Linked DNA regions of Sus scrofa. The protein of the gene in region 1 interacts with the protein of each later gene in a biochemical or structural test. Links are inferred from orthologs where the notes say so. Each region holds a gene or a part of one and is shown on either strand. Other genes may lie near its edges. The genes, in order: STUB1, IRF1, ubiquitin-conjugating enzyme E2 N-like, HSF1, INSR, UBE2V1 and HSP90AB1.

What was found.
Region 2: of the proteins of STUB1 (region 1) and IRF1, one has a biochemical effect on the other in vitro, tested with the Homo sapiens proteins (4 studies listed by BioGRID, with this or other methods). The link is inferred for Sus scrofa from reciprocal best matches to the Homo sapiens genes STUB1 and IRF1.
Region 3: the proteins of STUB1 (region 1) and ubiquitin-conjugating enzyme E2 N-like form a complex in vitro, tested with the Homo sapiens proteins (11 studies listed by BioGRID and IntAct). The link is inferred for Sus scrofa from reciprocal best matches to the Homo sapiens genes STUB1 and UBE2N.
Region 4: the proteins of STUB1 (region 1) and HSF1 form a complex in vitro, tested with the Homo sapiens proteins (2 studies listed by BioGRID, with this or other methods). The link is inferred for Sus scrofa from reciprocal best matches to the Homo sapiens genes STUB1 and HSF1.
Region 5: the proteins of STUB1 (region 1) and INSR form a complex in vitro, tested with the Homo sapiens proteins (2 studies listed by BioGRID, with this or other methods). The link is inferred for Sus scrofa from reciprocal best matches to the Homo sapiens genes STUB1 and INSR.
Region 6: the proteins of STUB1 (region 1) and UBE2V1 form a complex in vitro, tested with the Homo sapiens proteins (4 studies listed by BioGRID). The link is inferred for Sus scrofa from reciprocal best matches to the Homo sapiens genes STUB1 and UBE2V1.
Region 7: the proteins of STUB1 (region 1) and HSP90AB1 form a complex in vitro, tested with the Homo sapiens proteins (3 studies listed by BioGRID and IntAct, with this or other methods). The link is inferred for Sus scrofa from reciprocal best matches to the Homo sapiens genes STUB1 and HSP90AB1.

The regions. Positions count from the first base shown.
Region 1 is NC_010445.4:41,092,331-41,096,441, forward strand, and holds STUB1 (E3 ubiquitin-protein ligase CHIP), read right to left. Parts: upstream 2,852-4,111; 5' UTR 2,732-2,851; coding exon 2,573-2,731; intron 2,081-2,572; coding exon 1,882-2,080; intron 1,794-1,881; coding exon 1,628-1,793; intron 1,291-1,627; exon of another isoform or gene 1,149-1,290; coding exon 1,061-1,148; intron 909-1,060; coding exon 852-908; intron 765-851; coding exon 648-764; intron 571-647; coding exon 445-570; 3' UTR 184-444; downstream 1-183. Other genes in the region: JMJD8 (jmjC domain-containing protein 8), read left to right, coding at 57-137; uncharacterized protein LOC100524737, read left to right, coding at 3,040-3,167, 3,240-3,333, 3,490-3,649, 3,829-3,981, 4,101-4,111. UniProt on the Homo sapiens protein: E3 ubiquitin-protein ligase which targets misfolded chaperone substrates towards proteasomal degradation.
Region 2 is NC_010444.4:134,775,631-134,778,247, forward strand, and holds the end of IRF1 (interferon regulatory factor 1), read right to left. Parts: intron 2,262-2,617; coding exon 2,126-2,261; intron 1,534-2,125; coding exon 1,421-1,533; 3' UTR 552-1,420; downstream 1-551. UniProt on the Homo sapiens protein: Transcriptional regulator which displays a remarkable functional diversity in the regulation of cellular responses.
Region 3 is NC_010443.5:26,024,498-26,028,685, forward strand, and holds the start of ubiquitin-conjugating enzyme E2 N-like, read left to right. Parts: upstream 1-1,310; 5' UTR 1,311-1,682; intron 1,683-4,188. UniProt on the Homo sapiens protein: The UBE2V1-UBE2N and UBE2V2-UBE2N heterodimers catalyze the synthesis of non-canonical 'Lys-63'-linked polyubiquitin chains. This type of polyubiquitination does not lead to protein degradation by the proteasome.
Region 4 is NC_010446.5:483,535-487,944, reverse strand, and holds the start of HSF1 (heat shock factor protein 1), read left to right. Parts: upstream 1-1,479; 5' UTR 1,480-1,497; coding exon of another isoform or gene 1,498-1,642; coding exon 1,643-1,759; intron 1,760-4,410. Other genes in the region: ribosome biogenesis protein BOP1, read right to left, coding at 95-250, 1,243-1,332. UniProt on the Homo sapiens protein: Functions as a stress-inducible and DNA-binding transcription factor that plays a central role in the transcriptional activation of the heat shock response (HSR), leading to the expression of a large class of molecular chaperones, heat shock proteins (HSPs), that protect cells from cellular insult damage.
Region 5 is NC_010444.4:71,929,639-71,933,272, forward strand, and holds part of INSR (insulin receptor), read left to right. Parts: intron 1-1,837; coding exon 1,838-1,967; intron 1,968-2,948; coding exon 2,949-3,083; intron 3,084-3,634. UniProt on the Homo sapiens protein: Receptor tyrosine kinase which mediates the pleiotropic actions of insulin.
Region 6 is NC_010459.5:51,629,651-51,633,550, reverse strand, and holds the end of UBE2V1 (ubiquitin-conjugating enzyme E2 variant 1), read left to right. Parts: intron 1-99; coding exon 100-225; intron 226-1,524; coding exon 1,525-1,671; 3' UTR 1,672-3,318; downstream 3,319-3,900. UniProt on the Homo sapiens protein: Has no ubiquitin ligase activity on its own. The UBE2V1-UBE2N heterodimer catalyzes the synthesis of non-canonical poly-ubiquitin chains that are linked through Lys-63.
Region 7 is NC_010449.5:39,242,381-39,246,677, forward strand, and holds the start of HSP90AB1 (heat shock protein HSP 90-beta), read left to right. Parts: upstream 1-1,393; 5' UTR 1,394-1,635; intron 1,636-3,014; coding exon 3,015-3,161; intron 3,162-3,452; coding exon 3,453-3,659; intron 3,660-3,760; coding exon 3,761-3,920; intron 3,921-4,064; coding exon 4,065-4,198; intron 4,199-4,291; coding exon 4,292-4,297. UniProt on the Homo sapiens protein: Molecular chaperone that promotes the maturation, structural maintenance and proper regulation of specific target proteins involved for instance in cell cycle control and signal transduction. Undergoes a functional cycle linked to its ATPase activity.

The DNA.
Region 1 (4,111 bases):
GGGCCGGGCCAAGGGCCTGCAACCAATCCCTGTGCCTTTCTCACCCCATCCACTAGGTGCTGTATTTCCCTGACCGATGGTGGCACGCCACACTCAACCTTGACATCAGCGTCTTCATCTCTACGTTCCTCAGCTAACCCAGGGGGTGGCTGGTAAGCCGTTGCACACCAGCACACGCCCCCATAGTGCTCACAGATTTTATTACAGGGACAGTGGTGGCAGCAGCAACCTCGGCCTGGCCCACCCTCACCTGCCGCTTCTGGCACAGGAGGATGGGGGAGCCTCATGGCCCAGCAGAACTGGTGGGGCTGGGGCTGGGGATACCAGGGTGGGGATCCAGGGACACGAACTATGTACAGAGGCTAGGGGCTGCTGCCCCAAGGCCCTCCCAAGAAGCCAGGATACTGGGCAGGGTGGGTGAGGGGCCCACCCACTTGCCCTGCCTCAGTAGTCCTCCACCCAGCCATTCTCCGAGATGAACGCATCAATGACCTCCTTCATGGCCAGGTTGGGGATGAGCTGTTCCTGGGTCAGGGGGCTCCGAGTCACAGGGTCAAAGTGGCCCACGCGCTGCAGTGGCAACAGGATCAGAATGAGAAGATGCCCAGTGGGTGTGGGCCCTGCCCCCAGCGGCTACGGACCCTTACCTGCAGGTGCTCCTCAATGTCCTTGCGGTCATAGGTGATGCCACTGGGCGTGATGCACGGCTCCCGCATCAGCTCGAAGCTGATCTTGCCACACAGGTAGTCAGGGATGTCTCGCTTCTGCAGCACCCAAGCTCAGGTCAGGAGCGGGAAGGGGCACTGCCCTGGCTCCTGCTACCCACAGGGCCCAGGGAACAGGCAGCTTACCTTTCTCTTCTCATCCACCTGGGAGAAGAGCTCATCCATGTCTGCCAAGTACTTATCCTACAAAAAACCAGGCAGCTCCAGAGAAGCTTGAGCCCCTGTCGCCTTTCCCCAGGCACCCCGCCCACAAAGACCCAACAGGAGCCAGGGTCACCTCACATCACACACGTGCAAATACACACAGGACCCACACGTGGGCAGGGCACCCTCACATGCTTGGCCTCGATGCAGGCCTGCTGGGCCCGGATGTGGCCGTCATCCTCTTCACCCTCGTGGTTCCGCTGACACTCTTCCAGCTCCCTGGGGTGGACCACACAGCTGATCAGAGATGGGTCTGGCCAGAGGAGATCAGACTCCACCTTGGGCCGATTCAGGCCCTGTTCCCTCATCTCCTGCTTTCCCAGGCTGGTCCTCAATAAACGCTTATGTTCACGACTCAGAATGGTGACTTTTGCGAGTTCCCGTCATGGCTCAGTGGTTAATGAATCCGACTAGGAACCATGAGATTGCAGGTTTGAACCTCGGCCTTGCTCAGTGGGTTAACGATCCGACGTTGTCAAGAACTGGTGTAGGTCGCAGACAACGGCTCGGATCCCGCATTGCTGTGGCTCTGGCGTAGGCCGGCGGCTAGAGCTCCGATTGGACCCCTAGCCTGGGAACCTTCACATGATACAGGAGGGGCCCTAGAAATGGCGAAAAGACACGAAAACAAAAAAACAAGGAAAAAAAGAATGGTGACTTTGGGAGGTGGGGTGGAGCCCATGAACACCACAGCCCACCTCTCACGCTCAGCCACAATGAGTCGAGTGAGGTAAGAGTGCAGCTCGTTCTCCTGGTGGATGCGCCGCTCCTCGATGCTGTTCCAGCGTTTCTTCTTGGCAATGCGCAAAGCACTGGGGATGTCATCCCCAAAATTGAGCCGCTGCTCCTTGGCCAGGTTGTAGGCTGGGGGAACAAAGGATCCGGGTAACCCTCGAGCCAGTCCCCCCGCCTGGTCCCAGGCACCCTGGAACAGGCCAGCCAGCAAGCCCACCTCGCTGCAGGTTGGCAATAGCCTCATCATAGCTCTCCATCTCCAACTGGCACTGCCCCAGGAAGAAGTGTGCTTTCACAGACTGGCTGTCCAGTTCCAGGGCGCGCCGGCAGTCAGCCAGGGCTTGCTCGTGCTGCTGCATCTTCAGGTAGCACAGTGCCCGGTTGGTGTAATACACTGCCACCAAGGGATTCCGGGTCTGGGGACCAAGGCCGGACCAGCCAACATGAGGGAGTGAGTTCAGCCTGCCCTTTCTGTCCTAGCTTGAGACCCACGGCTGGAATCAAGACACTAGAGGTTTCTCAGCACCCAGGTCTCTGGGCGCGGAGGAAGGGTGGAGCCTACCTGAGCCCGCCCCCTCGACTCCAACGAGTCTTGCGAAGACAGGTTTCCCAGACTCCTGAAAATCCCCAGCTTTGGGCTTGGACCCCCAGCCCAGTGGGCTGCAAGCACCCTGAAGCTCCCACCCGCCACAGTTCTCTGACCACCAACCCTGGCTCGGGAGCCGTAGCCTTGGCCTCTCTGAGAGAAGATCACTCAGTCCTCAGAGCCGAAGTGCATCCCCTCCGAAAGTCCGGTAGGGGCGGCCAGACAGGGGCTCCGGGGAGGACGCGGGGCCGAAGCCGCGGCCCGGCCCGGCCCCTCCTCCGGCCCCGACGCCTGCCCCCTCCCGCGGCCCGGGCGCACTCACGATGGCGCGGCCGTAGCAGGCCGCCGCCTCCGGGTACTTGCGGCCCACGAAGAGCCGGTTGCCCTGCTCCTTTAGCTCCTGCGCGCTCGGGCTCTTCTCCGGGCTGCCGCCGCCGGCGCCCAGCCGCGCGCCGCTCTCCTTCTCCTCCTTGCCCTTCATGGCGCCGCGCGGCACGGCCTGGGCTCCGCTCCCAGGCTCCGCGCCCGGCCCGCCCAGCGCCCGCACCCCGAGCCCGCGATCCGCTCGGGCCCAGTCCTGCGCTCTGCCACCGGAACTTCCGGCCGTGCGGTTGGGCGGGGCCTCGCGTGCCCCCAACGCGCCGCGGGGGCGGGGTTGGCAGGGAGCGTGCGCTCGCGGCGACTCGACGCGCGGCGTCGGCAACCTGAGGAGAGCCGAGGTCGTCGGGGCGGAAGCCCACCCCGGCGCCCCGGCGCCCCGCCCCCGAAGCCCTGCCCCGGCGCGTGGACATGGCGGCGGCCCGCGGCCTTTGGGGCTGTGAGGACCCGAGCCTCTGGGCCGCCGTCCTGGGCCGCCACGGGGAAGTGCTCCGAGCGCGCGCGGGCCCCCAGGGGCGGCTGGAAGCCCTGGACCGATGGTAGGGTGATAGGGGCATCGGGTGGGCGGGGGACCCCCGTGGCCCGGAGTCGCCGTCACAGCTCTTCTCCAGGTATCGAGAGGCGTTGCCCGCAGCCATCGAGGGCCGGGAGGAGAAGCACGTGACTCGAGAAGAGCTGGGGCAGCTGCTGGCTTGGAAGCTGGCTGTGAGGAACTTCCCACTTGGGGGGCGGGGCCTCCTTCCGGGGCGGGGCGTAGCGGTGTGGGCGTGGGCGTGGCTCGCCCGGGGGCGGGCCCTCGCGCTGTGGGGCGGGGCCCCTAGCGAGGTCCAGCACCCGTGACCCCCACCCCGACTTGACCAGCGGGGCCGCTTCAGGCCGCGCCTGCATCAGCTCGTCAGCGCCAACGCCCCGGAGTTGGTGGTGCAGCACTCGGCTGCCGCCTTCCCCCTCCTGCCAGACATGCACGCCGCGGTCACGGAATTACGCGCCCTGCGGGGCGTGGGCCCGGCCACGGCCTCGGGTTAGTCGGGAGAGCCTGGCGCCCTGGCAGGGTCGCGGGCGGAACCTGGTCTGTTAGTACATTTGCCTGGGACATCGCCTGATGGCCACGTTCATGACACCAAGAGCTGTTGCGAATGGCAGCCCCGAAGGTGTCTTGAGGCTGGTGGGGCCTGAGTGTTGGCTGTTTGCTGCCCATAGCGGTCTTGGCTGCCGGAGCTCCCGAGGTGGCAGCTTTCATGTCTGAGGAGGCAGTGGCCGCGGTGCCCGGTCTGCCAGCCCTGCAGTACACCCTCAAGCACTACCTGCTGTACCTGAGCCGGGTGCAGGAGCGAGCCACAGCTCTGAGCCATGGTGAGGAGACTGCTGGCAGCGAGGGAGGGCATTCAGGACTCTGGTCAGGGTGGAGGGTGCAGAGCTTCCCAGCAGAGCAGGGTGACCTGGGCCCCAGACTCCCTGTTGCCCCTCCTTAGGCAGTGCCTCA
Region 2 (2,617 bases), on another chromosome or scaffold:
GTGATAATACTGCATTCTTAACTGCTAAGCCACCAGGGAACTCCCTATGCCGCTGCCTACTGTGGCAGACAGTGCAAGAGAACATTCCCATCAGTGCAGAAAATGGACAGCAAGTAATGCTTGGCACAGCAGGCCTCAGGGACCTTTTGGGAGCCGGTGTCTGATCTGTCTGTGACTGTACTGTACCAACTGTTAACTTTTTGGAGTAGCATCTACCTGAGTACCCTTGCACTATGTTTGGCAGGACATCAGAGTCTATGGCACATTCCTTAGGAAAACTCAAAACCTAACACTCCCCAGGCCCCAGAAGCCAAAATTCATCTCAGTGACTATATTTACATGAGCATGTCCATGTGCAACGACTATCCTTTCTCCTGGCATCTTCTCCATGAACATAATTGAAAGGACTTAGCAATAGGTGCATATGTCACTCACTGCTCACCCCAAAGTCAAGCTCAGGCAGGATGCCAACAATGAATCCATCAGAATGTATCTACAAAAAGTAAAATCATCTACAATTTATTTCTAAATAAAGGGCCACACCCCTTATAAACAGTTAACTTTTTATAAAAAGACAAATGTACATATTTACACACATATACATGTGTGGTCGCACACGACTTAGTGGTCAGATGACATTTCCAATTTTAAAAGTCACATCAAGGCGCTCACACTTGCCTCCCTGGGCCTGCTGAGGGGCTGCTGGGGCCTGCTTAAGGGGCAGGTGGGTATAGGGCAAGGCACTGTATAAATAAATGCAAAGGCTAGAGCTTGGGGAAAACATTAGTGTACACCTCTGATCAAAAATGTGGCAGCGTCCACAGGAAAAGTGCCATGTTTTTTCACAAGCCCCCCAGCCCAAGCAGGGAGCAGGGCAGAGCTCCTCTGAGGCAGAGGGGACATGTCCCACAGGACCCCATTCTTCCTTCACATTTCTCTGGCTTTGGAACAGTCCCCAAGGCTCAGCTAAGAAGGGAGGCGAATCTTTGGGAACAGGATTCACTTAGTGCAATCGTCTCTTAGTGCAGAGCCAGCCCTGGGGTTGGTGCTGTGCTTTTCTGAGGTCAATGGTCCATTCCCTTGGGCCAGCTCAGTGACAGCAAGACCGTCTCCAGGCAGCTGGGCTCAGAGGGAAGAGCTGGAGGCTGACTCCTGTCTGAGACCTCTTCCTGACACACCACTCTCAGAAGCCCATCTTCCCAGGAGACAAGGCCAGCTTTACCCCACAACATGAGTCCAGATCTGGCTTGCCAGGCCCCAAGAGGCCATTGTTCCAAGGAAACTGGCCCCATCCCCGGTCAGCAGTGGGGTCACACTTTGTCATGTCAAGAGGCCACAGGAGTCCTGCTTCTCTGCACCACAGCCACCATGATGCCAGGTCCCGCTCACCTAGAGGACTAAAAGGGAGCCAAAGGCCCGCCTACGGTGCACAAGGAATGGCTTGGATGGAGGGCAGCCTGACTGGGGTCAGCAGGTTGTCCAGCCAGCTGGTGTCCACGTTCTTCAGATCTGAAGATATCAGCCCAGTATACCCTAAAGATGTGAAAAAGGTTGTGTGAGGACTGGGGATAGGGAGGCAGGTGTGTTCTCCCTGCCACCCTCCAGTCCTATCCCTGAAGGGCACAGGCACAGCAGCCTCTGCTTCCACCCAAGGGCGGCCTCATCTTTAGGATCTTGGAGCAGGAGCCAATTTGCAAGCTATCTGGACCCAGATGCATTTATTTATTTATTTATTTATTTATTTACTTATTTATGTATTTATTTTTAGGGCTGCACCTGCAGCATATAGAGGTTCCCAGGCTAGAGGTCGAATCGGAGCTGCAGTAGCAGGCCGACACCACAGCCACAGCAACACCAGATCTAAGCTGCATCTGTGACCTATACTGCAGCTCATGGCAACACTGGATCCTTAAACTACTGAGCGAGGCCAGGGATCCAACCCATATCCTCATGGATACCAGTCAGATTTGTTGCCGCTGAGCCACAATGGGAACTCCTGGACCCAGATGAATGTCAAAAAGGATGCTTTACCTCTGCTGCTCTCTAGCCCTGCCCCCAAGCCTTCCCCACCTACTACATGGTTCTCCCTTCTCTGAGAAACCGTATGGATCCAGGGTCTTCTTACCCCCAGGGCTTTCAACTTCTGGCTCTTCCTTGCAGCTGAAGTCTCCATAGACAGCGGTGGGCTGGGCCCCAGGTTCATTAAGCAGGTACCCCTTCCCATCCACGTTTGTCTGCTGCCACCCTGACTGCTCCAGGAGCTGGGGACAAAGAAACAAGAAGGCATCAGCTCACTTCCTGTACAGACTCATCCTTTGGCCCTGCCTTCAATGAGCCAAAGCTTCCCAGCCAGGATCCCATCCTTGGCCATTTTCACATCCTCAGATAGATGTAGATGTGCACTACAGTTAGCAAGGGGCCGGGGAGGTGAGGGTCTACCGTCTTAGAATCTCCAAGACTTCCCTCTCAACTGGGTAAGGACATACCAACCGGGAGTGTGGCTAAAACAATGGTTAACATAGTAAGTCAAGAAAAGATACCTAGAAAATCTAGAGTTAAGGAACTAGGCCCATGTCTCCATTTTCTGTGCTAATGGAACAGAGGCTGGGTACAACTC
Region 3 (4,188 bases), on another chromosome or scaffold:
ATTTATCTTTCACTTTTGAAGAATAATTTTGTAGGGTACAGAATTCAGGTTGATTTTTTTTCCCCTTCTGAACACTTTAAATTTCACTCTGCTCCACTTCCATGGTTTCTGAGAAGTTGCATGTAATTTTCATCTTTGCTCTACTATAAGTAAGGCTTTTTTCCTCTCCTCTGGCTTCTTTCGAGATTTTTCTTTATTTTTGATCTTCTGTAGTTTGAATATGATATGCCTAGGTGTAGTGTTTTTTGGAACTATTCATGATTGATGTCTCTGACATTAGCATTTTACATTAATTTAAAGAAAATTGCTGTCCTTATTGCTTCAAATATTTCTCCTATTACTTTCTCTTCCTGGTATTCCCATTATACATATGTAACACTTTTTTATAGTTGTCTCACAGTTCTTAGATATTATCTTTTGGGTTTTTTTTCCATTTTTTTTTTCCCTCTTTGCATCTCTGTTTTGGAAGTTTCTATTAACATTTCCTTAAGCTCAGAAATTCTTTCCTCAGCTGTGTCCAGCCTACTGATTAGCCCATCAAATGCATTTTTTTATTTCTGTTACAGTGTTTTGGTTCCAGCATTTCTTTTTGGTACTTTCTAAGAATTTCCATCTCTCTGCAGACATTGCCCATCTGTTCTTGCATGTTGTCTATTTTTTCCATTAGCCCTTTGCATATTCATCATATTTATTTTACATTCCTGGTGTAATAATTCTAACAACATTCTTGCCATATCTGAATCTATTCCACTTTATTATTATGTAATGCTCCTCTATATCTCTGATAACTTTTATTGCTCTGAAGTCTGCTCTGTCTAAAATTAGTAGAGTTACTCCTGAATTTTTTTGACTGGTGTTAGCATGGCATATCTTTCTCCATGCCTTTATTTTTAATTTACGTATGTCTTTATTTATATATGCATGCATTTGGTCACACCTACAGCATGTGGATGTTCCTGGGCCAGGGATTGAACATTGCTCTGGCTCTTCAAATGGTGTCTGTCTTTTGCCTTTTAGTATGCCTTACAAGTTTTTCTTGAAAGATGGACTTGTACTGAGTAAAAGGAACTGCAGTAAATAGGCCTTTAATGATGTGGTGGTTAGGTGTGGGGGAAGGGAAAATGTTTTATAGTTTTATGATTAGGTGTCAGTCTTTTGATGAGCCTGTGCTGCTGGGCTGTGAACGTCACACGTGCTTCTCTGTTGTTGTGGGTTTTTTTTTTTTTTTGCCCCACTCCCCCCCCTTAATTGGAACAAGATGCCTAGAGGAGCAGGAGTTGCGTATTTCGCTTCCCCAGTGTAAGAATAGAGCCAGCTGGGGCTGGGCATTTCCCTTCCCCTAGGTCAGTTAGGCACAGATAAAATCCCAGCAGGTTAGGCCCTAGAAAATAGCTTCTCCTGCAGGCGGACCTTGTTAAGAAGTGAGTGCTCTGGCACATTTCAAGGTGGTTCCTCTTCGGCTCCTTCTTCAGGAAACACAAGAAGATTTTCCTCTCAGATCTCCACTGTGAGAGTCTAGTAGGGCTCCTAGAGGCAAAGCTCACAAAGTGTGGATTCCTCTGGAATATTTAATTCTCCGATTTGTCTACTCTGCGGCTCCAGCCACCTGTCAAATACAGTTCAGCTTTCCTGACTGCGGCACTGGTTCCTGAGGAGGTTTCTGCTTGTGGGTTTCCGCTCTGGTAAGTTGTGATTTTCTGTGTCTCCCTGTCTCTCTAATGTGAGGGCCCGAGATTTGCCCTGAGACCTTCGTTCTCTCATGGATTTAAGAGTGGGTGATTTTTCAGTTTGTTCGGCTTTTTCTTGTTTTTAGAATGGAGGAATGACTTTCAAGCTCCTTCCAGGCCAGACCAGGAACTGCACCCCTTTTCCTTTTTATAAAATGATACCTGAGTGATATTTTCTGATCCAGTGTAGAATTTAGTGAAAACGTCTACATTCTGGTCATTGTTGCTATATTATTCCCTTCCGTTAATCCTTTTGGGCTATAATTGTTTCCCCAAATACTTTTTAGCTGTTAACAGTCTAGTTCTTTCCTCTGTTTGTTTTTCTTCAATTCCACTCCCACTCTGTCTTGGAGTGCTAACAACCAGTACCACCCATGTGTGCCAGTTGGGTCAACATTTAAACAAGGATGTACTGTTTACACTGTTGTTTCTAACATTCTGGTTGCAAACACCGCTTTGTGCTTTGTGAATTGAATTGGTGACAGGTGAAACTTAGGCTGATGGCAGAGAATTTGGGGTTATAAATGATGGTTCGAAGCTAGATTTATTTCGTTTTCTCTAAACCTATTAAATCTGTCCAGGTTGAAGCTCACTTGTATTGTATGCACTCACATTACGTAGAGAAATGGCTTTCAGCCTTGCCTTTGTAATAGATTCACTGGCTCTATTTCTATTTAATTGGTCTAGATGGGTCCTGGTATCAGTATTTCTGAAAGTTCCTTGAGTAATTCTACCATGCAATTTGAGGTAAGTCCATTGGTCTGTAGCAATGGTCAGCAAAACTTTTCTTTAAGGAGCGGAGAGTAAATATTTTAGGCTTTGAAGATCATTTGAAGATCATATATTCTCTACTGTAATTACTCAGCTCTCATGTAGCCGCCACAGGCAAATGGGCATGGCTATGCTCTAACAACTTCCTTTCTAGAGACCAAAATTCTAATTCATATACTTTTCATGTGTCATGAAATATTCTTATTCATTTGATGTTTTTTTTCAACTATTAAAAAATATAGGAGTTCCCGTTGTGACTTGGCAGTTAACAAACCTGACTAGGATCCATGAGGATCCCTGGCCTTGCTCTGTGGGTTAAGGATTCGGCGTTGCCATGAGCTGTGGTGTAGGTCTCAGACACGGCACAGATCTGACATTGCTGTGGCTGTGGTGTAAACCAGCAGCTGTAGCTCTGATTCAACCCCTAGCCTGGGAACCTCCATATGCTGCGAGCGCAGCCCTAGGAAGAACAAAAAAAAAAAGTACAGATTGGTTTTGTCTTACAGGATTTACGATAACAGTCTGCAAGTGGGATTTGGCCTAGGGACTGTTGTTTGGCAGTTCCTAGTTAATGGTTTATTTTCTTCACTGCTTCAATTTGGTTCCAAAAGAGAAAATGTTTCCTTAGTTACATCACTGATAATATCTTCAATGAATCCCAGAACTGACTACTTATTTTAAGTCAGTTTATCAGAACATTTTTAAACATGGCAATGCATTTCCTTATTAGGCTCTGAAGTTGTGGCCATTGAGATGCTTTTATCTATGAGTAACAAGCATGGCTTAAAAGGCTTTCAACAGTAGGAAAGGTATTATCTCATTAAAATAGAGAGAATTGCAGGGCTATTGTTATTTGAAAATGTCATCAGCCCAGATGTTTTCCATCTTTCATTCTACTATCCTCAATATTAGTCCTGCCTGATGTCTTGCCTCATGGTGGCAAGATGGCTGTAGTAGCCCTGGGCATCACATGCAGACTCACAACATCCAAAAAAAACAAAGAATAATTCCTTCCTTGAATTTATTTTGAATGTGGGGCAGTCTATTTTTAGACCAAGGCCCTCCTCCTATGTAAATCTCCCCTTAAGTCTCAAGGACCAAATCAGGCCCTGGTGAAGGAATTGAGATTACCATGATTACCTATCATGATGCTTGCCTTGGCTTCAGGATCTGGTCTGCCTTTCACAGGTGGCCCCAGGATCCCAGAATCAAATCAGGGTTCTGATAGCAAAGGAAGAGGAAGAAATGGCAGTGGGGCAAAAAAAAAAAAAAGTCTCACACAGAACTAGATTGTTAGGATTAAAAAAAATAAGGCGGCTGTCTCCTAAACTCCTCATTTCCATTTGTTTATTTACTTCCTTTAAAAGACCATTAGACAATTGTTGAGTACAATTTTCCTGAAAGATAGCTTATTGATTTTTCACTCAAGTAGGTTACATTTTGCTTCAGCCTTCAAAGACATTTCTATTACTCCCTTCAGATTACATTTAAAAAGGAATGTATCCGATTTTGGCTTACTTTGTTCTTTTTCTAAACCTGTACCACGTTGTGTGTGTAGCATAAAAATGTCCATGTCAAAAAAGGTTTAAAAAGAGTCATCACTTTTTTCTTTTCATTTTGAACTATCAAAAGATTGTTTCGTTTTGCAGGTTGTACTCTGGAAATAGTAAAAGTAGTTTTCCCTCCAAAA
Region 4 (4,410 bases), on another chromosome or scaffold:
AGAGAAAGCAGAGCCCGCGAGCTGGCAGGCACTCTCCCGGCCACCCGCCCGGAGAGCGAGGACGAGCACACCAGAACACTGCTCGCTCACCCACCTGCTGCCCCGTGGCCTTCTCCATCCTGCTGTGCTGCTCCTCGCCGCTGGCCCCGTCCTCCTCCTCACTGCTGTCACTGCCAGAATCTTCCAGGCCTGAGAACACACTCTCCTCGCTGTCAGACAGGCTGGGAGCCGGGGCGCCGGGGAGAGAGGGCTGCAAGGAGCACACTGTCGGTGACCAGCTCTGTGTGGCGCAGGACCAGAGCTGCTTCTGAGCAGACTTCTGCCCACCAGACACCACCCCGGCCCTAACTCCACCAGACAGGGTGCACGGTGGAACAAGAACCTGCAGACTCTTAGCAAGCATTCATTGGAAGGCAAAATTCTAGATTTCATTGTTTTTCAATAGTTCCTGAGTCTCTCGCCAAACTGGACAGCCTGCACGGAGCAGCTACCAAACAGCACTCAGCACACACTCTATCGTGCCTAACTAGCTACACAATTACAACGGCAAGTAAAAATGGCACAAATGTTTTGGGCACAAACACAAACAGCCGCTGATGAATACAGAGGCAAAAGCACTACAAGTGGGTGAGCATGGTGCCCAGAGCTGCCTGCCGGCCAGGGAGCACCACGAGCACTTGTCACAAGTGAAGGGGCAGCCTGATAAACCAGCAACGTGGAGTCCCAGCTGCGAGGCTCGACTGCACAAGCCTGCTATGGCTTTCTACCACCGAGATTTGATGAGATTTGATGACACCCCCACAGCGCGGCTGGGGTTCCGCTGGACAGGAAGAGCATGAGTCCAGCTAAAACGGGCCGTCCAGTGCAGCAGGCGCTGCTTTCTCATCCTCGTTTCCTCTTCTACAACGTCTAACGTGTCAGGAACATTTGGCTATACAAGCAGCTACTGCAGGCTCAAATCTTCTGCGCCCAGATGACAATTCAAAGGCCCAGGAAGACCGCTGCGCAGGACGCCGGCTCTCCTTCCTTATTCTCTCCGGCCCAGACCTTCTTCCGACCCACACAACCGCCAGCCAGCTCCCTGCCCAGGACGCCCCCGCAAGGCCGCCGGGGCGGAGGACAGGAGACCCCTCCCTCCTCGCATTCCCAGGCCCGCCGGGCGCTGGGCGGGATCGCTCCCCGGCCGGTGCCGCGGCCCAGCCCCGCCGCCCCCCCCCGCTCCCGCTCCCGCTCCCGCGTCACCTCCTCCGGCTCCCGCCCCGGCTCCAGCATCCGCTTCCCGGGCCGCGTCCCGGCCACCGCCACGCGCCGCGCGCCCTGAGGTCCCGCCATGCCGCCCGCCGGTCTGCCCTGCGCCGCCACTTCCGGCAGCGACGCGACCGCGTGGGCCTGGGGGCGGGCCCGCGGGGTCAGAGGGCGCCGGGCGGGACGGGGGCCGGTGTGCGTGCGCGCGCCGTGGGACGCGGGCGGCGCCGGCGGGAGCGCGCCCGTCGCAAGATGGCGGCGGCCATGCCAGGCCCCGGGGCCGTGTGTGCGCAGCGGGCGGCGGCGCGCGGCCCGGGCGGCAGGCGCGGCAGCGGCGCTAGCCCGGCCCTCAGCCCCTCCTCGCGGTCCCGCCTCCGCCTCTCCCACCTTGCCCGGTATGGATCTGCCCGTGGGCCCGGGCGCGGCGGGGCCCAGCAACGTCCCGGCCTTCCTGACCAAGCTCTGGACTCTCGTGAGCGACCCGGACACGGACGCGCTTATCTGCTGGAGCCCGGTGAGGGGCCGAGGGCGCCGGCCCGGGGCGGGGAGGCCGCGGCGCGGGGGCCCAGGACGGGCAGGCCCGGACCCCGCCTCGCAGGCCCGGTGTGGGGGTGGGGAGCAGGGGGTAGTGCGGGGAGAAGCGTCGCAGGCCCGCTGGAGGTCGCTCCTGTCCACGCCGCTCTCCCGCGTTGGGTAGGAAGGGCTTCTGCCTCCGTGGGCTTGCGCTTGCTGCCTGTGGGACGACTGCGGGACGCGTCTGTGCTTAGAACAGCCCCCGGCTTCGCTAGTGGACGCTGGGCCCCGGTGGCCCCAGAGTTCCAGTGGTGTGGTGGGCAGTTATTCAGGGTAAATCAAGTCTCGGCCCTGGAACTGGAGGGCGTTTCTCTAGTTCGAAAGGAGAGGGAGCGAAAACAGAAAGCACAACGTCATAAAGTTCAGGCTGGTCTCGAGCCCGGGTCCAGATCCCAGAGCTGCTTTCCCAAGAGCGACTCGTGTTTCTTGCTCTGTGCGCGACTTTATTCACGCCCTGTCTCCCGTTGCCTGGCAGCGGGCAGGTGATTTACATGGTCTGACTCCGCAGGCTGGACAACTCCAGTTTGCGGAGGTTGGACTTGGAGATGGACGTCCTGGCTGTGACGTCGAGGTGGGGCAGGTCGGAGCCACGGCTCGCGGCTGGCAGGGGGGTGGCCTAGGCCACCGTAGTCGTAGGCAGGCTCCGGGCGCCTCCAAACGTGCTTACTCTCCTGAGCGCCCAAACGCTGGATTTCTTGGACCCCACTGAGTTGTTGCCTGTCATCCTGCTGAGCCCTTGGAAAGGAAGAGCAGTCTGGGCTGAAAGGAGCCCAGAGCTGGAGGCCACGTTCTCTCGTTCCACTTGTCCCTTTGAGGAGACCAGAAACCGTGCTGCATTCCCTTGGGGACACTGTGTGTTGTCCCAGCAAATATCCATGTGGCGTTCTCCATCCCAGGCCCTGTTTCTTTAACGGTGGGAACCACCCCTTGTTCCAGGCCTTGAACTTTGCCGGCCAAATGAAATGACCCCATTTTTCTGTCTTTTTCCCTTCTCCCTCTTCTTGTCCCTTCCCCGTAACTCCCGTTTGGGGGAGGGCACCAGAGGTCCTTTGGGATGAACCTACTGTGGGGACATCCCGCCTCTCAGTCTGCTCCAGGCCAGGCGAAGCACAGCCAGCGTCAGCTTGCTCCCCAGGCCTCACGGCCTGTATTCCAGGCAAAGCCTGGAGCAGGAAAGCGGACATGGTCCAGCCCGTGATGGTCTCTACTCAAGGTGGCTGCGCCCCCAGGCATGGTCTCCCTGGGGACAAGCGGCCATGGAGCAAGAGCTTTTGATCCTCCTTAGTCTGTACACAGAGCGAGTAGGGTGTGCTTGGTGCAGGACGCAGTGGGGCTGGCCCTGAGAAAGGAGACCAGCCCCTGCCTGGGGCCGGCAGGGTGCCCACAGGACCCCCGGGCCTCTGTCTCAAAGTCCGCTTGGAGCCCTTTGCCGACTCGCAGCCTGGAGTCCTGCTGTCGGAGGCCCCGGACAGGTCTGACGCCTGTGCCCTTGGCCCTTCCCCTTTGTGCTGGAACTTTGCTCATTGTTCCACCAGGAGAAAACCTCTGCCTGTGGCCCAGGGAATGAGGGGGAGGAGGAGGTGCAGTGGTCGACTCTGTGGTCTGCGTGATGCATGACCACGGGCGGGTGCCAGCCCTGGGAGCTGGGGCCGGCCAGCGGGTCGCTGCTCCAGAGGCACGTGTTGGTTTGCCCGCCCTTCCAAAGCCTTGTCCCGTCAGATGCGCCCCGTGCGGCGCCACGGCTGAATAGGCAAGGGCTCCCGCGGGAGGGGACTTGGTGACCGGGAGTGTGGCCTTGGGAGTGCTACCACCACGCCCCCTGGGACATAATGGGAGTCAGACCCTTCTGGCCAAGACTGAGGGCCTCTTTCTCCCAGGAACCGGACCTTGCCAAGGCCACCAGCCCAGGTGGCCCAAGTGAGTGCCACACTCAGGGATCGCTTGAGAGGGGCTAGTGTCCAGGTGGAGCACGGTCTCCGTGGTCAGGTCCCCAGCTCCCTGTGAAACCCCTGGCCACTCCAAGCTGGCAAAGGACCATTTCCAGAGACCCCAGGACAGGCAGGGCCGCCCTCTCCCCTGCCCGGAGCCAGGCGGGCCCCACCAGCCTGCTGAGCTGGTCCTCCGTGCAGGAGCCCGCAGTTGCCCCCGTGCTGGCTTCGAGGGCCACTGCAGAGCCTGGAGGTTCCCGGGGTCCCTGCACCTGATGAGCGTGCGTGGCCGCCGAGCAGGCCTCTGCCTGCCGCAGCCAAACCTTTTCCACACGGAGCCTGTCGCGCCTCCCATTGCCCTGCACGAAGGTGAAGGTGGCCTTTTTACAGACGCGAAACCTGAGCCTCGGAGGTGACAGGAAACGCGAGGAAGACCCTGAAGTGCACAGGCCCTTTGCCCGCCTGCCCCACCGACCGCGCTCTGACCGCGCCGAGTGTCGAGTCTCCAGTCGGGCGTGGGGTCCAGCTCGGGCTCCACCCCCCCACCCCGCGGTCTTAGCCGGGCCCGGCCGCACGTGGCTGACCAGCGCCCGGGGGTTTGTAGAGTTGTATTTTGGATTTTTACACGAGAGTCCGCCTTTCACCTCCCGCACAGACAGACAGA
Region 5 (3,634 bases), on another chromosome or scaffold:
CCGGGGATTGAACCTGCATCCTGGCACTGCAGGGGCACTGCCCTTCCTGTTGGGCCACAGCAGGAACTCCACTCATTCACTATTTTTTTTTTTTTTTTATCTGTTTGCCATTTCTTTGGCCACTCCTGCGACATATGGAGGTTCCCAGGCTAGGGGTCAAATTGGAGCTGTAGCCGCCGGCTTACGCCAGAGCCATAGCAATGTGGGATCTGAGCTGCGTCTGCCACTTACACCACAGCTCACGGCAATGCCGGATCCTTAGCCCACTGAGCAAGGCCAGGGATCAAACCCCCAACCTCATGGTTCCTAGTCAGATTCGTTAACCACTGAGCCACGACGGGAACTCCCCTCATTCACTTCTTTAAGTTGTATTTGTGCCAGTTGCTGCAGGAGGCGCTCCAGGTGCAAGGCTGAATAAGTCACTATGATTTTTCTGCCCTTGTGCAGCTTGCAGTCTTTATCTGCACCAGCCACAGGAGGCCATTTATGTTCACATTAAATTCCGTAACGTAAACGTCAGTCACCCTGGGCACCTTGAACAATACTGGACAGGGGATGTAGACCACGTTCATCATCACAGAAAGTTCTACTCAGCAGAGCTGTTCTGGGTGCACAGTGAAATAGTTGACACATAGGTAAAGAAGATGATGGAGATGGGGAAAAGGACCCAGAAAGAAAAGAGGAGTTCAGTTCCATAATAGAGGAAAAGCCCCTCTCATTGTAGGGAGGCAATGGTTTAACCAAGGCTTGCAGGATTAGAAGTTGACCTGGGGAGTTCCCGCCATGGCTTCGTGGTTAGGACCCAACATTGTTTCTGTGAGGTTTTGGGTTCAATCCCTGGTCTCACTCAGTGGCTTAAGGATCTGGTGTTGCCATGGCTGTGGCATAGGCCAGCAGCTGCAGCTCTGATTTGCCCCCTAGCCTGGGACCCTTCATATGTTGCAGACGCAGATGTAAAAAGAAAAGAAAAAGTTGACCCAAAAGGCAGCCTCCTAGGGGAAGTGACAGGGCACACAGAGGCCGTGGGGTTGGAGGGATGGCTGATGTGAATAAAATTCATGATGAGGAGAGCAAAGCAGCATTGAGATGTGAGAGTAAAGGAGGGAGGCAGGAACCAGATACTGAAAGGCCTTGCAAGTCACGGAACATTATCTAGGCATTGCCCGATATAGCCGGTGCGCAGCAGCAGGAAGTGACACGGATTGATTTCTGATCCCCAAAGGCCTTATCCTACATGAGCCAGGGAAGCAGGATGTGATGTGATCCTATGTATGTAGCTTCTCTCGGGCAGTCGGGATGGAGGGAGGGTCCTGCAGGTGAGAGAGAGTGCTGGATCTGGGTGGGTCCAGGGCTGTGGAGAGGAAGAGATTACATTGGGGGCGGGGGAGGGGGAGGATGTGGAAGGTGAGTGGCTAGACTCACCCCTGTTGACGGTGGGGTGTGAGGAAAGGGAGGACCCAACCCTGGGTTTCTGGCGGGGTAGCTGAGTGGCTGGTGTGGCCACAGCCAATGGGGACGAGTAGTGTTGGCTACAGGGAGTGGAAGATTCAGTTTGGAATGCCTGTGAGGTCATCGTGGGTGGCAAGGCAGCGTTGAGAAGGCGCTTCCCCCTCTGCAGGCCAGAATGTCGCTTCTTTGCTACGTGGTGGTTCCTTTTCTTTCTCTTTAACTGGTGGCCCATGCTCCCCCTCCACGTCCCCGTGAGCGCCCTCAGAATCCACTCCCACTGGATTTGGCGCACACACCTGGGGCAGGTGAGCCCATCTGGGGCAGTAAAGACGGCAGCCAGCTGGGCCCCAGGCTGAAGGCTAAGCGCATGTGAATTGTTTGTTATCAGACTTTGGAATGACCAGAGACATCTACGAAACGGATTACTACCGGAAAGGGGGCAAGGGTCTACTGCCCGTGCGATGGATGGCACCCGAATCCCTGAAGGACGGGGTCTTTACCACTTCTTCCGACATGTGGTGAGTCGCGGGTGGGTTGGTGGACAGAACCCTGGGCTTGAATTCCCTGTTGCTCCACTAGGGGGACCAGCGAGAGGGGTCATTGAAAACCGCCTTCCTCATGGCCTTTCCACCAAGAAAGGGAAGAGGATGTCATGCTGGGGACCCTTGCGCAGCTACCAATGGAGACTAGTCTTAGAGTTTTATTTCTGAACTGCAACATGAATTGTTTTTTGGGTTTGTTTGTTTGTTTTTTGTTTTTTTTTTTGTTTTTTTTTTTGTTTTTTTTTTTTTTTTTTTTTTTTGCTTTTTAAGACCCAACCCTGTGGCATATGAAGTTCCCAGTCTAGGGGTCCACTCAGAGCTACAGCTGCCAACCTACACCACAGCCACAGCCACATGGGATCCAAGCCGCATCTTCGACCTACACCACAACTCACGGCAATACTGGATCCTTTATCCCCTGAGCAAGGCCAGGGATTGAACCCAGGTCCTCATGGATACTAGTCGGGTTCGTTAACTGCTGAGCCACGAAGGGAACTCCTGAATTTTTTTTCTTTTAATAATTTTTTTTTGCTTTTTTGCTTTTTAAGACCGTACCTAAGGCATATGGATGTTCCCAGGCTAGGGGTGGAATCGGAGCTATAGCTGCCAGCCTACACCACAGCCATAGCAACGCAGGATCCAAGCTGCATCTGCGACCTACACCATGGCTCACAGCAATGCCAGATCCTTAAGCCACTGAGCGAGGGCAGGGATCAAACCTGCATCCTCGTGGTTACTAGTTAGGTTTTTAAACCTGCTGAGCCACAGTGGGAACTTCAATGAATTGCAACATGAATTGTTTTAATGAACTGGCTGACCAGGTTCTAATAAACCAAGAAGGTGTGTGTGTGTGTGTGTGTGTGTGTGTGTGTGTGTGTGTATGTGTGTGTGTGTGTGTGTTTTGTGTTGTGTGTATTTTAATGGCATCTCTGTTCTACTCCCAACTGTCATTGACAGGTCCTTTGGCGTCGTCCTTTGGGAAATTACCAGCTTGGCAGAACAGCCTTACCAAGGCCTTTCAAACGAGCAGGTGTTGAAATTTGTCATGGATGGAGGCTATCTGGATCAACCTGACAATTGTCCAGAGAGAGTGTAAGTGTAGAAAGGAGGTTCGGTGTGTGGGGTGCTCATGCAAAAGTATTTGTCCTTTGCATGGATACTTGCATTTGAACATGATATATCTGCTTGGTTTGTGTTTGCAAATTTTATCTCTGCATGCACACTTGTATTTTTATATGATGCCTATATATGTGCTTGTGTTTGCATATTACGTCTTTTTTTTTTTTTTGGCCGCCCTGTGGTATATGGAATTCCCGGGCCAGGGATCAGATCTCAGATCCCAGCTGCAGTTGTGACCCATGCCACATGTATGGCAATGCTGGATCCTTGATCAACTGCACCTGGCTGGGATTGAACTTTCATCCCAGGGCTCCAGAGACACCACTGATCCTGTTGCACCATAGTGGGAACTCCTGCATATTATTTCTTTCTTTCTTTCTTTCTTTCTTTTTTTTTGTCCTTTTAGGGCCACACCCACGGCATTTGGAGGTTCCCAGGCTAGGGGTCGAATGGGAGTTGTAGCTGCTGGCCTACGCCACAACCACAGCAACACAGGATCAGAGCTGTGTCTTTGATCTACATCA
Region 6 (3,900 bases), on another chromosome or scaffold:
ATCAGTTCTGCAGTCAGGAATAAATGGGGTTTCAGAAGTTCTACCTTTTTGAATTCTTTGTAATTGCCTGACATGGCTGTACCCTTTTTTCTTTTCCAGACAATTTATGAAAACCGAATATACAGCCTTAAAATAGAATGTGGACCTAAATACCCAGAAGCACCCCCCTTTGTAAGATTTGTAACAAAAATTAATATGAATGGAGTTAATAGTTCTAATGGAGTGGTAAGTAGTTTTTCCATGTGTTACTTGGTTATTTGATGATATTGCAGTATAAACGTGCAGATTTGGAATGAAAGCCTCTTCCTCAGTTGTGTTTAGCTGTTCCTTGTGCAGCATTTACTCTGCCCTGTGTTACTCAGCACTGTGCCAGTCACTTTGAGATAAGAGCTCATTCAGTCTCCTGATAAACCCCCAGCAGGTAGAGAGGAGGAAACGGAGGCATGAAGGTGAAAGATCTTGCTCAAGGTCACGCTTTTACCTCATGGGCCTTTTTTGTGGACGACTAATGCATAGTATTTTTTTTCCTTTAATGGCCTTGCTTTTCAAACTTTTTGTCTTTTTAGGGCCGCATATGCAGCCGAGGCTAGGGGTCAAATCAGAGCTGTGGCCGCTGACCTACACCCCAGCTCCTGGCAGTGCAGGGTCCTTAACCCACTGAGCGAGGCCAGGGTTCAAACCTGCATCCTCAGGGATACTAGTCAGATTCGTTTCCTCTGAGCCACGACGGGAACTCCTAAACTTATTTTTACCACCATTTTCACTACCATGAATGGAAACCAGTCTCATTTGTCATAAGAAGGCAGTGATGGCAATGGCAAATGTTACAAAAAACAAAACAAGCTTGATAGTTTTTCCACCATATGTTGCTTACCAAAGGCTTTTGAGCCTCTGATCCCTGCTCTCTTGTTCAGAGAGGAGATCAGCAAGTATTAAAGATGCTACATATTAGCATCACACAAGCTAATAAGCCTTCTGTTTTGAGATAGTCGGAAAACTTGACAAAGTAGAAAAGAGGTGAGCCTTGTTTCTGTGTTCAGTGTTGTCTGAGTTCCACCTGAAGTGCTGAATCCAGGACTCTGCTCACACTGAGAAACTGTTTTGGGAGAAGCCGCACGACTTGAAAAGGGATGACTCTGAGGCAGGCCCTTGTGATTAGAGCCTTGGTCCTGAGTAGTGGCAGCAGCTGGCCCAGAAGCAGGTCAGGTCATGTCATTGTTTCAGAGCCAGTTGGATTGAGTCTCACCAAGTGTCAGGACCATTTCTCTAAAAGTGGCTTTGCTTATCCATAATTTCCTTCTCCCAAACAGTGAGCGTTTGGGACACAAAAAGGGGGAAACAGACTAACTGGAAGGAGAGAGTCCCATGAACACTCTGTGTGTCACATACCATTGCGTGATCAGCATGTTCAATTTGAAAAAATGCGTTTTACTCAGTGTTTCTTCTGTAGCTTAGCTTCAGCATACAGCTCTTCTTTTGTTTGAGAACCTGACAGTAATTTGGCTTTTGTTTGCCTTTGTGTAGGTGGACCCAAGAGCCATATCAGTGCTAGCAAAATGGCAGAACTCATATAGTATCAAAGTTGTTCTGCAAGAGCTTCGACGCCTAATGATGTCTAAAGAAAATATGAAACTCCCTCAGCCGCCTGAAGGACAGTGTTACAGCAATTAATCAAAAAGAAAAACCACAGGCCCTCCCCTACCCCCCATTCGATTTAAGCAGTCTTCATTTTCCACAGTAGTAAATTTTCTAGATACATCTTGTAGACCTCAAAGTACTGGAAAGGAAGCTTCCATTCAAAGGCAATTTATCTTAAGATACTGTAAATGATACTAATTTTTTTGTCCATTTGAAATATATAAGTTGTGCTATAACAAATCATCCTGTCAAGTGTAACCACTGTCCACATAGTTGAACTTCTGGGATCAAGAAAGTATATTTAAATTGATTCCCATCATAACCGGTGGGGCACATCTAACTCAACTGTGAAAAGACACATCACACAATCACCTTGCTGCTGATTACATGGCCTAGGGTCTCTGCCTTTTCCCCTTCCCCTCCCCCTGCTTCCCTCCCTCCCTGCAACAGCCCTCCAGCTTGGGGTGGCTTGTTAGAGTAGATGTGAAGGTTTCAGGTCACAGCCTGTTGGACTACTGCTGGGTATGGGGGGGTGCTTTGTCTGCACCCCTTGTTTCTTTTTTTAAGTCTTAAATGATGCCTCCCTTCCAAGCCATCATCCTTTCCCCAACTCTCCACTCCCACCCTTGGCCGAAGCATAGATTGTAACCCCCTCTGCTCCCCTCTGAAATTGGCCTTTGGTGAGGAATTCAGGGCTTTCCCCATATCTTCTCCCCCTACCTTAATCGAGGGGTGCTGCTTTTTCCTTCCTCCTCCTCAAATCCCTTTTTGCACCATCACCACCCAACACTTTCCATGGCACTTCCTTGCTTTGGCCAGAAGCCATCAGGTAAGGTTGGAAAGAGTCTCTGACCGCCCTCATTTAGTTTTGGAACCATGTTTATTTACTCTCCACCAGCCTGGGAAATGAATATTGGGTTCTCAGCCCTGCCACCCTCTGCTGTCATCATCAGCTGATGCGTTTTTAGCTCAGGTTTTGATAAGATGAAAGAACAGTCACCAGGGCTACTCAGACCTGCCAGCTCTCGAAGTCCTTGGTGGTTAAACTTGGAGAAAGGCCACGGAAGACACTTGTAAGCACACACAATCCCTCTGAATGAATTGTTTTCTTTTCCTGTAATTGCTTTTGCTTTTAAAAATTGAAGAAGTTTTGAAGGTATCTCATTTGGTCATCCTTGCAATCCAATTTGGGTCTAGTTTGGAATCTGACAACTGGAACAAAAAGAATCTTGAATTCGGTGCATACTTTGGTTTTGGTGCTGCTGCTTCTCACGGTCCTCAGCAGGGATTAAGAAAGAACTCGGTGTGCACGGCAGATCCCCGAAATTGGCGGGCTTGACTTTCCGGCAAATTGCTGCGTTTTTCCACTTTTCTGTTCAGGACCACTAAATGCTGAGGTGTGGATGCATACCGAAATAAAAGCAATTCATTGTGTTCTAAGGGTTTTTTTTTTTTTTTTTAATTTAGCGTTTGTATAAAACCACCTTTTGAAGCAGCAACTATCAAGTCTGAAAAGCAATTGATGTTTCCATTAATCTTTTTCTGGGGAAAACCTTAGTTCTAAGGATTTAACATCCTGTAAGTAAAGTTTAACATAACAGTATTCCATAAGCAGCCTTTTTATTGTCAGACCATTGCCTGATTTTAATATAATAAAAAGAAGTGTGCGTTAATATTTAAGAAGCGGTGCTCTTCTTCCTCTTGGCATATAATTTATTCAGGAGCAGAATTTAATATCATAGATGCTTTGGGATTCAGTTTGGTCTCCTAGAGCAGGGGTCGGCAAACTTTTTCTACAGTGGGCCAAAGTTAGTAAATATTTAGGCTTAATTGGCCAAGAGACAAAAAAACAAAGAAAATGAGTATTTATATACATGAGAGAAAACAAATTTCCAGGTTGTTTTGATGAAATTCAAAATGGTAATAATTGAGTACAGTTTTTTGTAATGTTACAGATCTGCTGAGAAGAATGGAATGCTTTTTTTTTTTGGAGATGACATTTTACTTAATTGGATTCAAGATTAGTATTCCCTGTTATCAAACCAATTGCAAATGTTCAGCTATAAAAATCCTTCATTCAAGGGGCCATACAAAACTGGGCAAAGGGCCAGATTTGGCACATAGACCATAGTTTGCCAACCCCAGATCTAAAAGATTGGGTTGGTTTTTTTTGGTTGTTTTGTTGTTGTTTTCTTTGGCTATACCTGTGGTATGTGGAAGTTCCTGGGGCAGGGATCAAACCTGTGCCACAGCAGCGACGAG
Region 7 (4,297 bases), on another chromosome or scaffold:
TGCCGAGGGAGGTCTGCGGGTCGGAGGTATCCCTCTCCCAAGCATTCCAGGGGCGGACAAAGTGGGCCACGAAGGGAGTTGAGGGAGTTGCTGGGCATCCACAAGGTCACGGCGCAGGGAGCGGTCATTCTCTCCCGGAGGGGCTGTGGGGCGGGTGAGCTCCAGAGATGAGGCCTTGGAAAGGCGAGGACAGCGTACCCGCCCCGAAGGCAAGCAAAAGCGGCAGGGCCAGGCGAGGCAGCTGGGCCGGCGCTTGGCTTGGGGGCTCCGGCGCCGCAGCAGCTGAAGGGGAACAACCTGGTTCTGCCCGCCAGGAGCGAGCAGCCCTTTGGCCAGCATGAAGGCGCTGGTGTCTTCATGCCACCTCCTAGAACCCCCGCCACCCAGCGGGGGTCCCTGGAGATCCTCCCCTCCCCAGACCTAGACAGTTGCAGGAGGGGAAAGAATTTTTGTAAAAAGAAAAGGAAACCAGATTGTATGTGCATGCCCCTGCGTGCGACACGCGTGGGCGGCTGCAGAGGCTGGGGAGGGTTTCTCAGGTAGCGACGCCACCCTCAGTCTCGGCTCCGAAGGCGGTTCTCGCAGAGCCGCCCCAATAACCCGTGTGCTGTGTGACTGACGGGGGAGAAAGGGGGGATCATCCCTGTTCCACCCCACCCTGGACGCAATGCTGAGCGAGCTGGGTCTGGCGGGTGGCGAAGAGGGTGCCGGGTGTAGTTGCCCGCCAGCAACATAGGATCGAAGTTGCCCACCTCTCCCGGAGATTCAAGCATAACGTTGGAGAGGCGGAGCCGCCGCAGAGGCACAGCCCAGTCCGCAGAAAAAGGGGTGGAGCCCCAAGGGAAGAGGGCGGGGCGGGGCGGGACAGGACCGTAGAGGCGGATCTGGAAACTGCTGGAAGATCGCAGCACCGCCACTGTCGCTCCTTCCGCCGCTTGCAGACAAAGAGTGCCCTCCACACCCGAGCCGGCGACCTTCTAGCAGCGGAAGCCACGCCCCGCAGCGAGACGCTGGCACTGCCCATTGTCCCCTGGGAGTGCCAGGGTTCGCGGGCTGCCCAAAGTTCGGCTTCAAATTCCCCAGTGTCCCCGGAAAGGACCCTTTCCCCTTATTGGGCAGTAGGAATGTGTAAGGAAGATTGTAGCAGGGAGGGAGCATAGGTGGGAGTAGTTGGTCCCCTTTCAGGTGTTCCTCTGGGATTCTTTGGTGTGGAGGCACCTGCTCTACAGGTTTTTACTGAGGTCAGCGGGGATTCTGTTCCCTAGAGCCACGGCATTTGTCCTATGAGTATACCCAACATCTAGCTCTGGTGGTGTCCTGTCTTCAGGACGCGGAGATGGGACTAAGAAAAAGTCTACACATGCGCGCCCTTGCTCTTCACCGCCCCCTCCCCTATTTTGGACCATGACGTAAAGGTGGGCGGGCAGCGGCAGGTGCGGGGCTGACAGACAGCCTCCTTTAAGGCGGAGGGATCTGGGGGCGGGCAGCGAAGGTGTGCTTCGCCTTATATAAAGCGACTGGGGTCTCACAGCCGTTCTCTTGAGTCACCCCCCGCGCAGCCTTGTTCTGGCGTGAGAGCCGGAGGCAGTCCTTCCCCGCTCAGCTTTGTGGTGTTTGTGATCCTTATCCTTTAAGGTAAGGTTGCACTCTTAAGGCATTTCTGGTTAAATTTCAGGTTGCTTTCGTCCATTCTGTCCTTTCTGAGACCCAAGTTTTTGTCGTGCTGGGGCGGTTTGCTGGACAACGCTCCCAATTTTTTTAGAGGGTGGGTGGAAGGGAGCTCTCGAGTTTAGCTTTTCCTTCCATGCTTGGTGTCGGGCCTTCTAGGCGGCTGTTAGGCCTGGGCGAGTGGGGCTGGGGGACTGGGCGGCTACACGTGGTAGCCGCGCCGGCCCGGGACGCTGCCATGTTTGCCCCTCTACTTCCGGACGCGACTACGGGGCGCCAGAGGGTGGGCAAGGTTGGTGGGTGTGCGGGCCCGGTGTGACTCAGCACAGCATGGTTCTGGGTAGGTTTTGCCATCTCTTTTATAGAAGGGAGTTTTTCTAGTCCTTAGTGTGAGGGTTTGCGGCAAAGGATGCTTTGGAGCTCCAGTGGCCCATCGTGCTTCCTGCTTCGAGCTCATTCCTGCAGTCAGGGTGGAGGGGTAGCGGAGGAGGCAGGCTTGAGAATTTATGGGAGCATTTCTTCGTCGTCCTCTTTTCTCCCCGTTGGCTGGAATTGTTCTGGAAGGTTCTGGAACTCGGCGCCCCGCCCTGGTGCCCGGATGCTGAGGCGAAGGGAGGCTGCGCGGTGGCGCCCCCTCCTCGCGTGGTCCTGGCCGACGCATGTCCGGCATCGACGAGCGTCGGCCCCGCGGACTACGCCACCATCTTAGTTGTATTTGGTTTGGTCCTGTACCTCAGTCACGTGTGCTACAGGGACAGAGTGGAGCCTTTTGCTTTATCGGTTCTTTGTCTTAATGGCATCCCAAGTGGGTATCCCACGATTCTCTCGCGTTAGCCTCCCTTACCACGTGAGGTAGCAATTTCACATCTTCCTGGAGGTGAAGGGAGAGCAGTTTCAAATGATAGCCCCTTTAAGGTAAAACTGGTCTGTTTGGGGGGGGGGCTCCCTCCCCTCCACCAGAAATGGTAGAACCGTAGTTACTAATTTGTACATTTGAATATGTATGTAGGTCTTCTGCTTATTCACATTTAAGAAACCGGGGTTGGGCGAGGTACTCTGCATGCCTAAGAGATTACCAGGTGATGAGAGGCTGCTGATCCGTGGATGGATCGCCTAACATCCTAACAAAATGCTTAAGAGACCTTAAGGCATTTTGGGGGCTGTATTAGCAGCCCCCCCCCCCCCCGCCCCTCTTATTCTCAGACTGAGGGCGCAGCCTGAAGTCTTTAAAGGAAAGGTCTTGCATCTCAGTACTCGGTTCAGAACAACTTGAACTGAACCTCTTAGTGTCTTTATTGTAATTGGGGTGAACTTGAGTCCAAAGTTCTTCATCTCTCTTATTTTAGATGCCTGAGGAAGTGCACCATGGCGAGGAGGAAGTGGAGACTTTTGCCTTCCAGGCAGAAATCGCCCAGCTCATGTCTCTCATCATCAATACCTTTTATTCCAACAAGGAGATTTTTCTTCGGGAGTTGATCAGTAATGCTTCTGATGTGAGTTCCCTGAGCGTCTTCATTGGCATTTGTTTGTTTCTCGAGTACTTCAAAGAAGGAGAGGGGTGATTGGGCATTTTGTGGGTTTTATTTTTGAAGGGAATATAAACTTCAATTCTAAAAAGGTTTTGCCTTGCTTTATGTGGATAGATGGCGTACTCTAACTGGATGTACGTCTCAAGCTTCAAATGAAAGGGGTTATCAGAAATGAGGTTATCTGGGAGTAGGAAAAAACTTTTTCTATTGGATGAGGTGGAAGCAGAATTGTAAAACTGCAATTTGTATTTTCAGGCCTTGGACAAGATTCGCTATGAGAGCCTGACAGACCCTTCCAAATTGGACAGTGGTAAAGAGCTGAAAATTGACATCATCCCCAACCCCCAGGAGCGCACCCTGACTCTGGTAGACACAGGCATTGGCATGACCAAAGCTGATCTCATAAATAATTTGGGAACCATTGCCAAGTCTGGTACTAAAGCATTTATGGAGGCTCTTCAGGTATGTGGTATTTCAGCTAGGCATGCACCATTCATATTCATTGATGTTTAGTTTGCTGTTTCTTCAAAACTTGTGTTTGACTTTTTAAAACTTTTTGGTAGGCTGGTGCAGACATCTCCATGATTGGACAGTTTGGTGTTGGCTTCTATTCTGCCTACCTGGTGGCAGAGAAAGTGGTTGTGATCACAAAGCACAATGATGATGAACAGTATGCCTGGGAGTCTTCTGCTGGGGGCTCCTTCACAGTTCGTGCTGACCATGGTAGGCTGATTTTCCTGTTGGGTGTCGGGGATAGAATTCTGAGGGAACAGTGGTAAAGATCTTGAGCATTCTAATGGTGAGACATTGGTCTTTGTTGTTCAGCACTTAGTTTTCTTTTTCACTCCGTTTTGATTGACTTTCTAGGTGAGCCCATTGGCCGAGGTACCAAGGTCATTCTGCATCTTAAGGAGGACCAGACAGAATACTTAGAAGAGAGACGGGTGAAAGAGGTGGTAAAGAAGCACTCACAGTTCATAGGTTATCCCATCACACTTTATGTGAGTATGAACTGGTAACTCAATTGTCTGCTGCAGGAGACACTTGGTTTTTTATTTTCTGTAGTCTGAAATTTTCATCTTTGATACTTGCAGCTGGAG